Macaca mulatta: one gene and its partners. The protein of the gene in region 1 interacts with the protein of each later gene in a pairwise test. Links are inferred from orthologs where the notes say so. Each region holds a gene or a part of one and is shown on either strand. Other genes may lie near its edges.

Evidence for each region.
Region 2: the proteins of CDK6 (region 1) and CDKN2B interact in binary tests that used the Homo sapiens proteins (3 or more experiments, as listed by UniProt). The link is inferred for Macaca mulatta from reciprocal best matches to the Homo sapiens genes CDK6 and CDKN2B.
Region 3: the proteins of CDK6 (region 1) and CCND3 interact in binary tests that used the Homo sapiens proteins (3 or more experiments, as listed by UniProt). The link is inferred for Macaca mulatta from reciprocal best matches to the Homo sapiens genes CDK6 and CCND3.

The regions. Positions count from the first base shown.
Region 1 is NC_133408.1:126,535,438-126,539,183, forward strand, and holds the start of CDK6 (cyclin-dependent kinase 6), read left to right. Parts: upstream 1-1,078; 5' UTR 1,079-1,204; intron 1,205-1,857; exon of another isoform or gene 1,858-2,652; intron 2,653-3,715; exon of another isoform or gene 3,716-3,746. UniProt on the Homo sapiens protein: Serine/threonine-protein kinase involved in the control of the cell cycle and differentiation; promotes G1/S transition. Phosphorylates pRB/RB1 and NPM1.
Region 2 is NC_133420.1:77,206,797-77,210,542, forward strand, and holds the start of CDKN2B (cyclin-dependent kinase 4 inhibitor B), read left to right. Parts: upstream 1-863; 5' UTR 864-1,144; coding exon 1,145-1,300; intron 1,301-3,746. UniProt on the Homo sapiens protein: Interacts strongly with CDK4 and CDK6. Potent inhibitor. Potential effector of TGF-beta induced cell cycle arrest.
Region 3 is NC_133409.1:140,231,505-140,235,250, reverse strand, and holds the start of CCND3 (G1/S-specific cyclin-D3), read right to left. Parts: upstream 2,779-3,746; 5' UTR 2,633-2,778; coding exon 2,435-2,632; intron 2,145-2,434; coding exon of another isoform or gene 1,935-2,144; intron 1,566-1,934; coding exon 1,350-1,565; intron 1-1,349. UniProt on the Homo sapiens protein: Regulatory component of the cyclin D3-CDK4 (DC) complex that phosphorylates and inhibits members of the retinoblastoma (RB) protein family including RB1 and regulates the cell-cycle during G(1)/S transition.

The DNA of each region.
Region 1 (3,746 bases):
GCAGGTAAAGTATACATTCTTACAAGGTTTCAAATTTCAGATTTCCAATAATGCATTTAAACTGAGCACTCCTCTTTCTGTGTATGTATCTATTATCTGCAGTTCTATTATTTACACTAAATTTTAGTCTTTTTAGCTCCTCTGAAATACGTTAGTGAACCCTCAGCAGTTACTAACCACTTAATAATTGTGAACCCGCCAGCCCCTTCAAGTAGATCGTTAACCATAAGAGTGCCTGACAATTTCCAAACCATACCCTCTGTCTAAAAGGAAAAGATAGGGCTTTGTGAGGCAGAAAGGAAGCGAAGGAAAACAAAACAAATGTAGCTCATGCTGAAAGTGAAAAGTGCTTGAACAGATTAGTATTTTCTTTTCTGCAAGGCATCCTGCCAAACTTTTTCTTTATTTTTTTAAGAGAAGAGTTATTTTTTGGTCTGATTTTTCAGTTTCTTGGAAAGTATTGGTATTTACCACCCCCATCGGCCCTTCATAATTATTGTTAGTTGTTTTGTGTTTTTCCCATCCGTCCACGTCACACAGTGAGGATACCCCCTGCTTCACCCTGTCAAAACCCCAACTCTGGGCGACCCTGGGTTTGGAAACTCCGCCGACTCCCGACGACACGTCCCACTCTCTCCCACTAACGCCGCTTATTTTAGTCGCAGGATCCCCCTACTACAGTTTCAGTGAAAGCCGGAAATTTTCATTTAACTCCCCTGCCCCCCCAACCCCCCCGCCCCGCGCCTTTCTAGCCCCCGACTCGTAGAAGGGAGCTAGGGAGCCCGGAGCTCGGAGCACTGCCGGGGCTTGGCCGCCTCCTTTCTCTCCGGAAGGCTTTAATTTGCACACTTTCTTGCCACTGCGCCACGAGCCCCCAGCCTCGCCGCTGGGTGGGTCTCCGGCAGAGTTGGCTTCTCGGGTCCCTGCCCCCACCCCGCGCGGTCGCCCCCGCTGCCTCCCTGGCTGGGGCCCCCAGCGCCGGCCAGAGCCCCGCGGCCCCCGTCCGCCCCCAGCTAGCGGCGCGGGCGGCGCCCTCCGCCTTCCCTCCGCCCTCCGCCGCTGTGCCCACCCCCTCGCCGGAGAGAGTGCTGGTAACTCCTTCCCCAGAGTCTGATTACCTGCTCCGCGAGGCCGCGGACACGTGCGGAGAGCCGACTGACACTCGCAGCCCCCTCAGGAGGCCCGACGCGACTGGGCCCCTCAGGTGAGGAGCTGTGCGCTCGGGTGGGTGGGCTGCGGGGTGGGGGGTCCCTGGGGAGATATGGGGGATTGGCCGGGGTCCGAGGCAGAACTGTGGGTGGGGTAAGTGGAGGCTGGCGGGGGGTGGGGGGGACCTGTGTTTCCCTGGAATCGGCTTTGGTTAACCCCTTACGAACTGAGACGGCGTTGGTTATGGGGGCCAGTTTTGGGGAGCTAGAGGATTCTAATCTGACGAGAGGGGGAGATCCTACGCTAGGGACACCCGCGACACCGAGATCCTGCTTCCACGTACCCGTGCGCACACACACTCACACAGAACACTCCTCATCCAGTTTCTCCAAACGGAACTGGAACTCTACTCGGACATTCACATAATAATTCACATTTAGGGTTCAAAATGCACTGCCTCTAGGGACTCCATGCTGGAGAATGTGCTTGCATTTCCCCCACGAAAACTCCCTCGCCAGCTCGCTGAGGTGTGGGTGTGGGCTCCACCTTCCCCTCCACGAGATAAATGTTAACGCAGGCTTCCTGCGGGCGTGTTATGCACAGAAGAGTGCACGCAGCCGGCCGGTGCCCAGGCTTGGAGCCCCACGAAGACGCACGTTTGCTTTAGTTTCCAAGTTTACTTTTATCATTTAAAATATTGGAGTTAAACACACGCCCCGTGGTGAGCAGCCCTTGTCCCCGCAGGGCGCCCGTCCGTGTGCATATGGGCGCATCTGCGTGTGCGCACACGCGGGAGTCGCGGTCCCCGGTGTGGCCTCTTGTTGCCGTGCTGGTGGCGACCCTTGTGGTGCTTGGCAGGCTTCGGGAGAGGCGCATGAAGGATTTCATTGAGTGTGAAGACAGAGAGCAGAGACAGAAAGCAGAAGGAGGCGGCTGCAGCCTTTGTAGTCGCGGAGGAATGCGGAAATGTTGAAGCACTATGTCAAACTTTTTTTGAAATGGGGTCAAGTCACATTCAGCCAGCGTGGGAAAGCAACAACAACAACAAAAAAAAAGTGGAGGAGAGGGGGGGAAAAGGCATTGCTGCTCCCGTTTCTCTCCGCCGAAGCCGACCGTCTGGGGGGCGAGTGGGGGGAGAGTCAGGGTAGTGCGGGGCCCGGCGGGGGCAGCAGGCGAAGTTCCCTGCGGGGGTGGGACGTCCCCGACGCTTCCTTCGCTGCGGAGCCCGGGGCTAGACTCGAGCGGGAGGGGGATGGGGGGACGCAGGAGAGGCGGGTTGGGCGGCCGGCGGCGGCTCCCCGGCTACCTGTGTGGCCCTCGACCTGGCTCAGACGCCCGGGCAGTCCTTGGGGGCTCTTTCCTCGGCTTTTAAGGAAAGTTCTGAATGGAGTGAGTGCCAGAAGCACTGCTTTCGCCGCGGTCCGCTCCACGCGCTCATCGTGGGGGTCGCGCCGTTTGTTTAATTCCTGGCAAAAGGCGAGCGGGGCAGCGGTTGCGAGGCAGGTAATTCCGAGGTGCCCCGGGAATTCCGGACACGCGGCCAGCGTGGTGAAAGTCCTGCCGAGGCCGCGGCGGCCGTGGGGGAGGGAGGCTCCCTAGGTCCCAGATAGCTGCTGAATGGGGAGGGAAAGTTAGGGTACCCTTCTCCGGCGCTTTGTTATGCAGAGGGCTCCGGGGGCGTCCGGCTGCAGCCTGGACCCGGCCTTTAGCCGGAGAGGGAATGGGGCAGCCACCTCCGCTACCTACAGCGGGGTGGTCCTGGGAGTGGGAAAAGGTTCGCGAGTCCGGGCCCCGAGGGCAGAGACCTTGTTTCTCACCCCTGGAGGCGCAGGGTTTAACCCCCCACCCCCCACCCTTTGAAAGAGAGGTTGAGTTTTGCTCAGGTCGAAATCAATTTAAAACTTCAGGACGAGGCGCGATTAAGCTATCCTCTTCCTGAAATTATTCTTTAAGAAGACGACAAGCGAAATTGTGACGAACACCCCTTTCTCCCACCCTTGGGATCCCGTGGGGGACAGTGTCTCCCCTCCCCCAGGACCTCTCGTTCGCCCACCCCCGATTAGCCCCAACCCTCCCCGACCAGATGGCTGGTCTTCCCAAGGTTTCCACCAGGGAGGTCCTCCCAGTCGGAGAGAGAATTCCGTTTCCAACCGAGACTCCTTTACCCCAAAGAGACCATTTGTGTATGCGAGTCGTTTTTAAATGTCTCCTCGTAGAAAAACTGAAAGTAGAAAGAAAGGAAGCAATTTCTGAGCAGATGTCTGACCACCCCTTCTCGCACACTCACAGCATCGGGTTACAGGGTCCTGGGAGCCCCCACCCACATTCTGCGGCCCCACACGGATGGACCCACAGTCCTTCCGCTCCAGCTTGTGCGCGACCCTTGAACGCCCTCCGGCACCCCTGGACCCCATCTCCCTGCACGTCCGGGCCTCAGGAGGCGGGGAGGGTAGCGACGCAACACAATGATATAGGGATAAATATTAAGCCGTGACATTGACGTGCCCGGCGCCTCCCCTCCCCCGCGCTCCCGGCACACTCTGGGCTGCTCGGCACGCCCCCTCCCGTTCCACTGCGTCCCGCGCCGCTCGCTCATC
Region 2 (3,746 bases), on another chromosome or scaffold:
GTTTAAATAGGTAAGAGTGCAAAGATTTACTGTGCAAATATGATGAAACTGGGATCTCAGATTCTTAAAGCACAATTTTTTTTTGTCTTGTGTGCTAGGTTGCCACTCTCAATCTCGAACTAGTTTTCTCTCTCTCTCTCTCTCTCTCTCTCTCTCTTTTAAGGGTTGTATCCATAATGCAAACATGGAAAGAATTAAAAAGCACATGCAAAACATGATTCTCGGGATTTTTCTCTATTTTTATGGTTGACAAATTCAAATAGAAAGACACATCCAAGAGAAAACCGCTAAGGTTGACACAAGATATGAAACTTGTGAAGTTCAAGTACTGCCTAGGGATGAATTTAACTTGTATGACAGGTGCAGAGCTGTCGCTCTCAGACATCTTAAGAAAGACAGAGTTATTTTCAATGCCTTTCTCTCGGCCACAAGGGAGCCACTAACGTCTCCACAGTGAAACCAACTGGCATAAGGCTGAAGGAACAGAAATCCTCTGCTCCGCCTACTGGGGATTAGTTGCTGAGGGTAGTGGGTCAACATTCCCAAAATATTAGCCTTGGCTTTACCGGACATCCAGCGAGCAGTCCAGCCGGCATTCCTGGCGGCTCCCTGGCCCAGTCTCTGGCGCATGCGTCTCAGCACCTTTGGGCAGGCTTCCCCTCCCTCGTGACGCGTCGGCCGGGGCCTGGCCTCCCGGCGAGCACAGCGGACAGGGGGCGGAGCCTAAGGGGGTGGGGAGAGGCCGGCCCCTTGGCCCAGCTGAAAACGGAATTCTTTGCCGGCTGGCTCCCCACTCTGCCAGAGCGAGGCGGGGTAGTGAGGACTCCGCGACGCGTCCGCACCCTGCGGCCAGAGCCGCTTTGAGCTCAGCTGCGGCCGCGCTAGGCGCTTTTCCCCAGAAGCAATCCAGGAGCGCCCGCTAGTTCTTGAGCGCCAGGAAAAGCCCGGAGCTAACTACCGGCGGCTCGACCATTGCACGGGGCCCCAAGCCGCAGAAGGACGGCGGGAGGGTAATGAAGCTGAGCCCAGCTCTTCTAGGAAGGAGAGAGTGCGCCGGAGCAGCGTGGGAAAGAAGGGAGGAGTGTCGTTAAGTTTACGGCCAACGGTGGATTATCCGGGCCTCTGCGCGTCTGGGGACTGCGGAATGCGCGAGGAGAACAAGGGCATGCCCAGTGGAGGCGGCAGCGATGAGGGCCTGACCAGCGCCGCGGCGCGGGGACTAGTGGAGAAGGTGCGACAGCTCCTGGAAGCCGGCGCGGATCCCAACGGAGTCAACCGCTTCGGGAGGCGCGCGATCCAGGTAGCTGGGGCCCCAGGGCCTCGCCGGCAGGGGGCGCGCGAACGCGGGGCGCGGCCTCGGCGGGTCGGGGCTGGAATCAAGATCGCCGATGTAGATTTGTATAGCAGTCTCCCTTGGCCGGAGGTGTGCAGCCCAGGCGTAAAACAAGCTTTTATCCAGCAAAAATTCTAAAGAGAGACATTGAAAAATCCACTGTTTAAGCTTTTCTAGTGGTTTTTGTTCTGCCATCTCATCATCAGAGATGCAAGGAATAGATTGAATTGGGGAGAAAAGGCGAAAAGGAAAGGTTATTTAGGGAGGACGATTATCTTGTCTGTTTGCTTTCAACGATAAAGATAAGTAAACTATAAGTTACACATTCTGGATTGGATTTAAGGAATTCTACAAAATCATAGTACATGGAAAAAAATCAGTGTAAACTTTTAAGCTACTATATGAAATCTGTTGTATTGTTTTCTCATGGAGGCTAATTGAATTCAAAGGAATGAGACCGGAATCCTCAGCCACAGCACTTAGTTCCTTTTATGTTAGCAGTGTCTTATGAGTGATGCATAAGAGAAAAAATATATAGTTCTATAGGTTTCTCATTCTTTAATTATCATACTCAGTGCCCAGATTACAAAAATATTCCTGCAGCAACTGTTAGGTCCTTTTTGAATGGCAAAGGATCTTCATAAATAATGCATCCTTATCTTCATCGTTAAAATACACTTATTCAATGTTTACGAATCCTGCTTTAATTAGTACTGATATTTTTAATTTATTTTACAATCTAGGACAATGCTTTTGTACTTTACTGTTGGCTATTGGCCATATTCAGTATTCACCTCACTATCACCCTCCAAAACTAAGCTAATATTAAGGAATCTTGTTAATAGTGTAGATTTTAAAGAAGTGTTCATTTCTTTTGAATTCTTAGAATAGTGGTATAACAAATAAGGGATTTTTAAAGGAGCAAAACTATTGTAAAGTGCTTCTTAAAAACTTAAAATTCTATTAATAATTATAAAACAAGTTATATATGTAATTCACCATTTTCTGAAATACTAAGAACAGCTATTTTCCCCTCTTTTTTCTATGTAAACTATCCTTACATCACTAGTAGATATAACTTATGGTTTTCAAGAGATGAAATGAACATTTCTAATATTAATGAAACAAGCTGACAAAACATGAGAAGTATACTGCCTTTCAATTAAATGGTATATTTTAAAGTACATAAACCCATAACAAATAACTCAATTTTAGACATTTGTTACCAAAAATTGTCTTATAATTAACTTAAAATATGACAGCAAATGTTTTCATAATGTTCATGTTCACAAACGGCTGCTACAGGATTACTCCTGCAAAACATCATTTTTTTCTAAGTTATGCATCATCCTGATTGCTAACATCCAAGCTCTATTTATTTATTTATTTATTTATTTATTTATTTGAGACGAGGCCTCACTTTGTCAGCCAGGCTGGAGTGCACTGGTGTGATCTCAGCTCACTGCAACCTCTGCTTTCAGGGTGCAAGTGATTCTCCTGCCTCAGCCTCCTGAGTTGCTGGGACTTCAGGCACGCCCCACCATGCCCATCTTATTTATTTATTTATTTATTGTAGTACAGACGGGATTTCACCATATTGGCCAGGCTGGTCTCGAACTCCTGACCTCAGGTGATCTGCCCACTTTGGCCTCCCAAAGTGCTGGAATTACAAGCATAAGCCACTGTGCCTGGCCCAAGCTCTTTTTATACAGCAAAATATTTACTGTTTAACGTTTTTAAATCTTAGCTATTATAAAATCCTGTAGTATATATAGTTAGTTTTATGTTACATTAAAAATGTTATACTCTAAAATAAAAATGATGAACTGTTTATTAAGGAAAAATCATTTATTCTTGTAATTTTATAAGATTTTGCATGATTTAATTTACTTTTCCCTTCTAATCTCCAACTTTGGCTCAAATTATCACAGTACAATCCAGTTATGAGCACAGACACATGACAAACAAAAGCCTTCCACACAGGATTTGCTATGAGAACTAAATAAATTTTAAAAAGAAAGGAAGAAAAAAGAAACTTAATTGTTTATTTTCTCCCCTAAACCATTACTCCCAACTTCTAACAAACAGTAGTTGAGTACCTAATAAACATTTTTGGACCTGGATTATGGAGGAGGGGTCAGGAAGGCAAATAATTTAAAACTTTAAAAGCCAAATAAATTTAACTCTGCCCATAAATCACTTAACAAAATAGATTCCCATGTTCCGATGGAAATCAAGATTTGTTTTTCCACAATGACGATCATCACTTTACCATCAACTTTCTTGTCTCTACACGTTTAGAGAATAAAATGGCATTTAATTTGTACTGAGTGGAGTATAACCTGAAGGTGGGGTGGGAAAGCGGATTGCATCAGCAAATGAAGAAACACCAGACACCAGAGACCTGAACACC
Region 3 (3,746 bases), on another chromosome or scaffold:
TTCACAAAAAGGAAGTTCCCCTTCTACCTTCCAGCCCCAACCCCTCCAAAAACATCTTGCTCTCTGGCCCTGGAAACTAGCTCCACCTTCAGACTTGCCAAAAACTACCAGATTCATCACAAAGAGCTGTGGAGTCTCCTGGATTCCCAACTCTGGCCTCCTACTCCCATCTCTGAGCTACTTGGCAGGAAGAGGAATCCTGTTCCTCGACTCACAGCAGTCGGGGGCCCCAGTACCCTGGCTTCCCTGCCAGCCAATCACAGCAGCCTGCTTGCTGCCCTCCTCCCTGGGAGATGGGGCCCAGAGACTCCTCTCAGGGTCAGCAGAAGACTTGGCCCGCCACAGAGCAAGGTGGAAGAAAGTGCCAGCTCACCCACCCTCTCCCCCCAGCCCCCTAGGAGACAATCTGCATGTCCTAAATAACCTCTTCCAGATCCAGCAGCTGCCCGGGACTGAGGCTCCTTCTGAGGCGGGACAGAACCGGTGACTTTCCTGCCCTGTCTGAGCCCAGCCCAAGTTTCCAGCAAGAGGCCCAGGGAGCCACTTCCCAAACCACAGGAGTGACAGCAGCTCCCCACAGGGTTATGAAAGACCTTGGTCAGAGAGGGCGGGCCGGGGGAGGGGGCACCATTATCACATCGGAAGCAGCTGCAGCTCACCTCCCTGCCTGTCCCTCAGCTTGGGCCTTTGGCTAAGGGGGGTAGAGGGAGCTGTTTCCACCAGGCCCAAAGCAGCTGCTCCAGTTCCTCAGAATGAGGACAGGAAAGGATTAGGAAGAAGCTGTCTCTTCCGGGATATAAGAGGAAGCAAAGAAGGTGGGATGAAATACATCAGCCCTTCCTTAAAGCAATCAGAGCCTGGCTTTAATTGGCTCTGGGAGGTTTTTCTATCACAAAGTCCACATGAGGATAAAGACTCAACCAAGGCAAACCCCCTCCCCCACATGAAGCACATTCCACTCCCCTACTCCAGTGGGGGTGTGCAGGCATGCCCTTCTGCTGCCAATAAATAACTCATGGTGGCTGCGTAAACCCAGAGGCAAAGTACTAGTGAGTGTAGACATGCAGTTTGACTTGTTGCTATCTGAGGGAAAGACCAGGAAGGAGTGGCATCCCCTGGAGGTCAGGAGGGCGTTTAATGCCTGACTGCAGCTCGAGCCTAGGCGGGAGTGATACTAACCATCACACCACACTGCCCCATCGTTTGTTCCACCCTAATTCCCTTCCCAAAGGTCCTGATCGCCTTGCGCCCTCTCCAGGGAGCAGAAAGCCTCTGATATCTCAAGCGTTCCTTTTCCTGGAAAGTGGGGAGACAGTATGTGTCGGGGGTGGGGGGAGTTACACACGCACCCGCAACTGGCGGGGAGAGACAGCGTGGTCGGTGTAGATGCACAGTTTTTCGATGGTCAGGGGCGTGGTCTCGCGCAGCTTGGAGGCCAGCAGCATGCAGACCGCACCCAGGAGCTGCAACTGCGCCTTTCGGGTGGGGACACAGGACAGGTAGCGATCCAGGTAGTTCATGGCCAGGGGGAAGACTTCCTCCTCACAGCGCTGCTCCTCACATACCTGGGGGAGGGCGCACAGTCACTGCTGGGGCCGGAGCGTGGGGAACACAGCAGCGCGGGGGTGGGGGCGCTGAAGTGAGGTGGGATAGGGAGCAAAAACGGGAGAGAGGGTAAGCTACTTACAGAGACAAGGACCAATAAAGGAGGAGGATGGGCCCTCCCCAAGGTGACGCCCCCCACTTCCTCTGCGCGGCCTCCTCCCCTCTCCCCTTGGTGGGGTGGGGGTGGTAAAGTCAAGGAGCCCTTCCTCAAGAAGGATTCCAAACGGAGACTCCCCTCCCCCACAGCGACGGGAAGTGGGACGCAAGGGTCACCCATGGTAGCCAGAGAGCTGGGACCTCACCCCCATCACCGCCACCACTGCACACACCCGAAGGGAAGGGAGGAGGCTCCTGCCACTGCCTCCCGCACTTTTCATTTCCCTGTCGGCCGGAACAGGGCGCGCGCCACCCCCATCGCCTTCCCCGCCAGAACCCCGCGACAGACACAGGAACCGGCTCCCGGGCGGGGGCGGCCGAGCCCAGGGTTTTCCAGGCGCGCTCTCCGGAGAAGGCCGGGAGGGGGAGGGAAGTGGGAGACGCTGTGAGAAGCCGAAGGGGAGACGATGTCCCTGGTCCCGTTTTCTCGGCCCGAAGAGAGGCACAGTTACGGTGCCAAGTGACTGGCACTCACAGTTGGGAGGAGCCGATTAGGGCTCGGGAAAGCAAGGGAGGCAGCTGGCTAGGGTGCCCTAGTGAAAGGCCAGGCCCCGGGGGTCTTAGCCTCGGAGCATCCTGCAGATTGCTGTGGGGACCGCGATGTCCCGACAGGGCGGCCCCGGTGTGTCCAGACCCGGGAGCGGTGGGGGAGGGGGACGCGTCCGGGCGGTACCTCCAGCATCCAGTAAGCCAGCATCTTCCGCATGTGCGGCTTTATCTCCCGCTGCACGCACTGGAAGTAGGAGGCGCGGGGCACGTAGCGCTCCTCCAGGCGGAGCAGGCTCTGCAGGACACGCTGGTCCCCGAGTAGCCGCGGGTCCGGCCCGGCCCGGGGCGCGTGCCGGGTGCCTTCGCAACACAGCAGCTCCATACTCGGGCAGCGCACAGGCAGGGCGGGAGTGCGGGCTCGCGAGTTTCAAGGCAGGCGACGGGCCGGAGAGCGCGGAGAGCGGGTCTGGCGCTGGCGCTGGCGCTGGCACTGCGCGGCGGATCCCCAGCCCGCCCGCCGCCCGCGCGCGCCGCTTCCCTGACAGGCGCCCCGCCCCTCGCGACGATGTAGCAACCGTGGAATGCTCGGACGTCGCAACGCTCCGAGGGGCGGGGCTGCGGCGCCCCGGACGGAAAGGGCTGGCTGGGCGCTCTCCCCTCCCTCCCGCGGCCCCATTGGGCCGCTGAGCGCAAGCCGGCCGGCTTCCGGGCACTCCGGGCCCTCTGGACCACCGGGTGCAGAGAACTTTCTAGGAGGTGGGCCTCCTACCCACCCACGAGCCCTCCCATTTTGCTTCTCGGACTCTAGTCACCCAGGAAAGAATTTTTCTCCAAAGGTCATTCATTCACTTATTCATTCGTCAAACCCTACTTCACCGGCTGCTTGCTCTAAGGAATGCGATAAATAATGTCAGAGTCAGTTCTTAGTGAACACTGCTCCAAAGCCTCACAATGTAATGACTCACTACATCTTCACGAAAACTCGGAAACCGAGGCAACTGTCATTCGGTTGGCCCGTGGCAGAGCTAGGATTGGGAATCTGGCCTTCTTGCTCCAGATTCTGTGCTCTACACCACTGCTAGTTAAACAGTGATCCCAGACCTGTCCCGTGCATGGTCATCGCCTGGGAGCTGGTTAGAAATGCAGACTCTCAGGCCCACCCCTAACCTGAATCAGAATCTGCATTTTAACTAGATTTCTGTGCACTTTAAAGTATGAGAGCTGGGCCGGGCGCGGTGGCTCACGCCTGTAATCCCAGCACTTTGGGAGGCCGAGGCGGGCGGATCACAAGGTCAGGAGATCGAGACCACGGTGAAACCCCGTCTCTACTAAAAATACAAAAAATTAGCCGGGCGCGGTTGTGGGCGCCTGTAGTCCCAGCTACTCGGGAGGCTGAGGCAGGAGAATGGCGTGAACCCGGGAGGCGGAGCTTGCAGTGAGCCGAGATCGCGCCACTGCACTCCAGCCTGGGCCACAGAGCGAGACTCCGTCTCAAA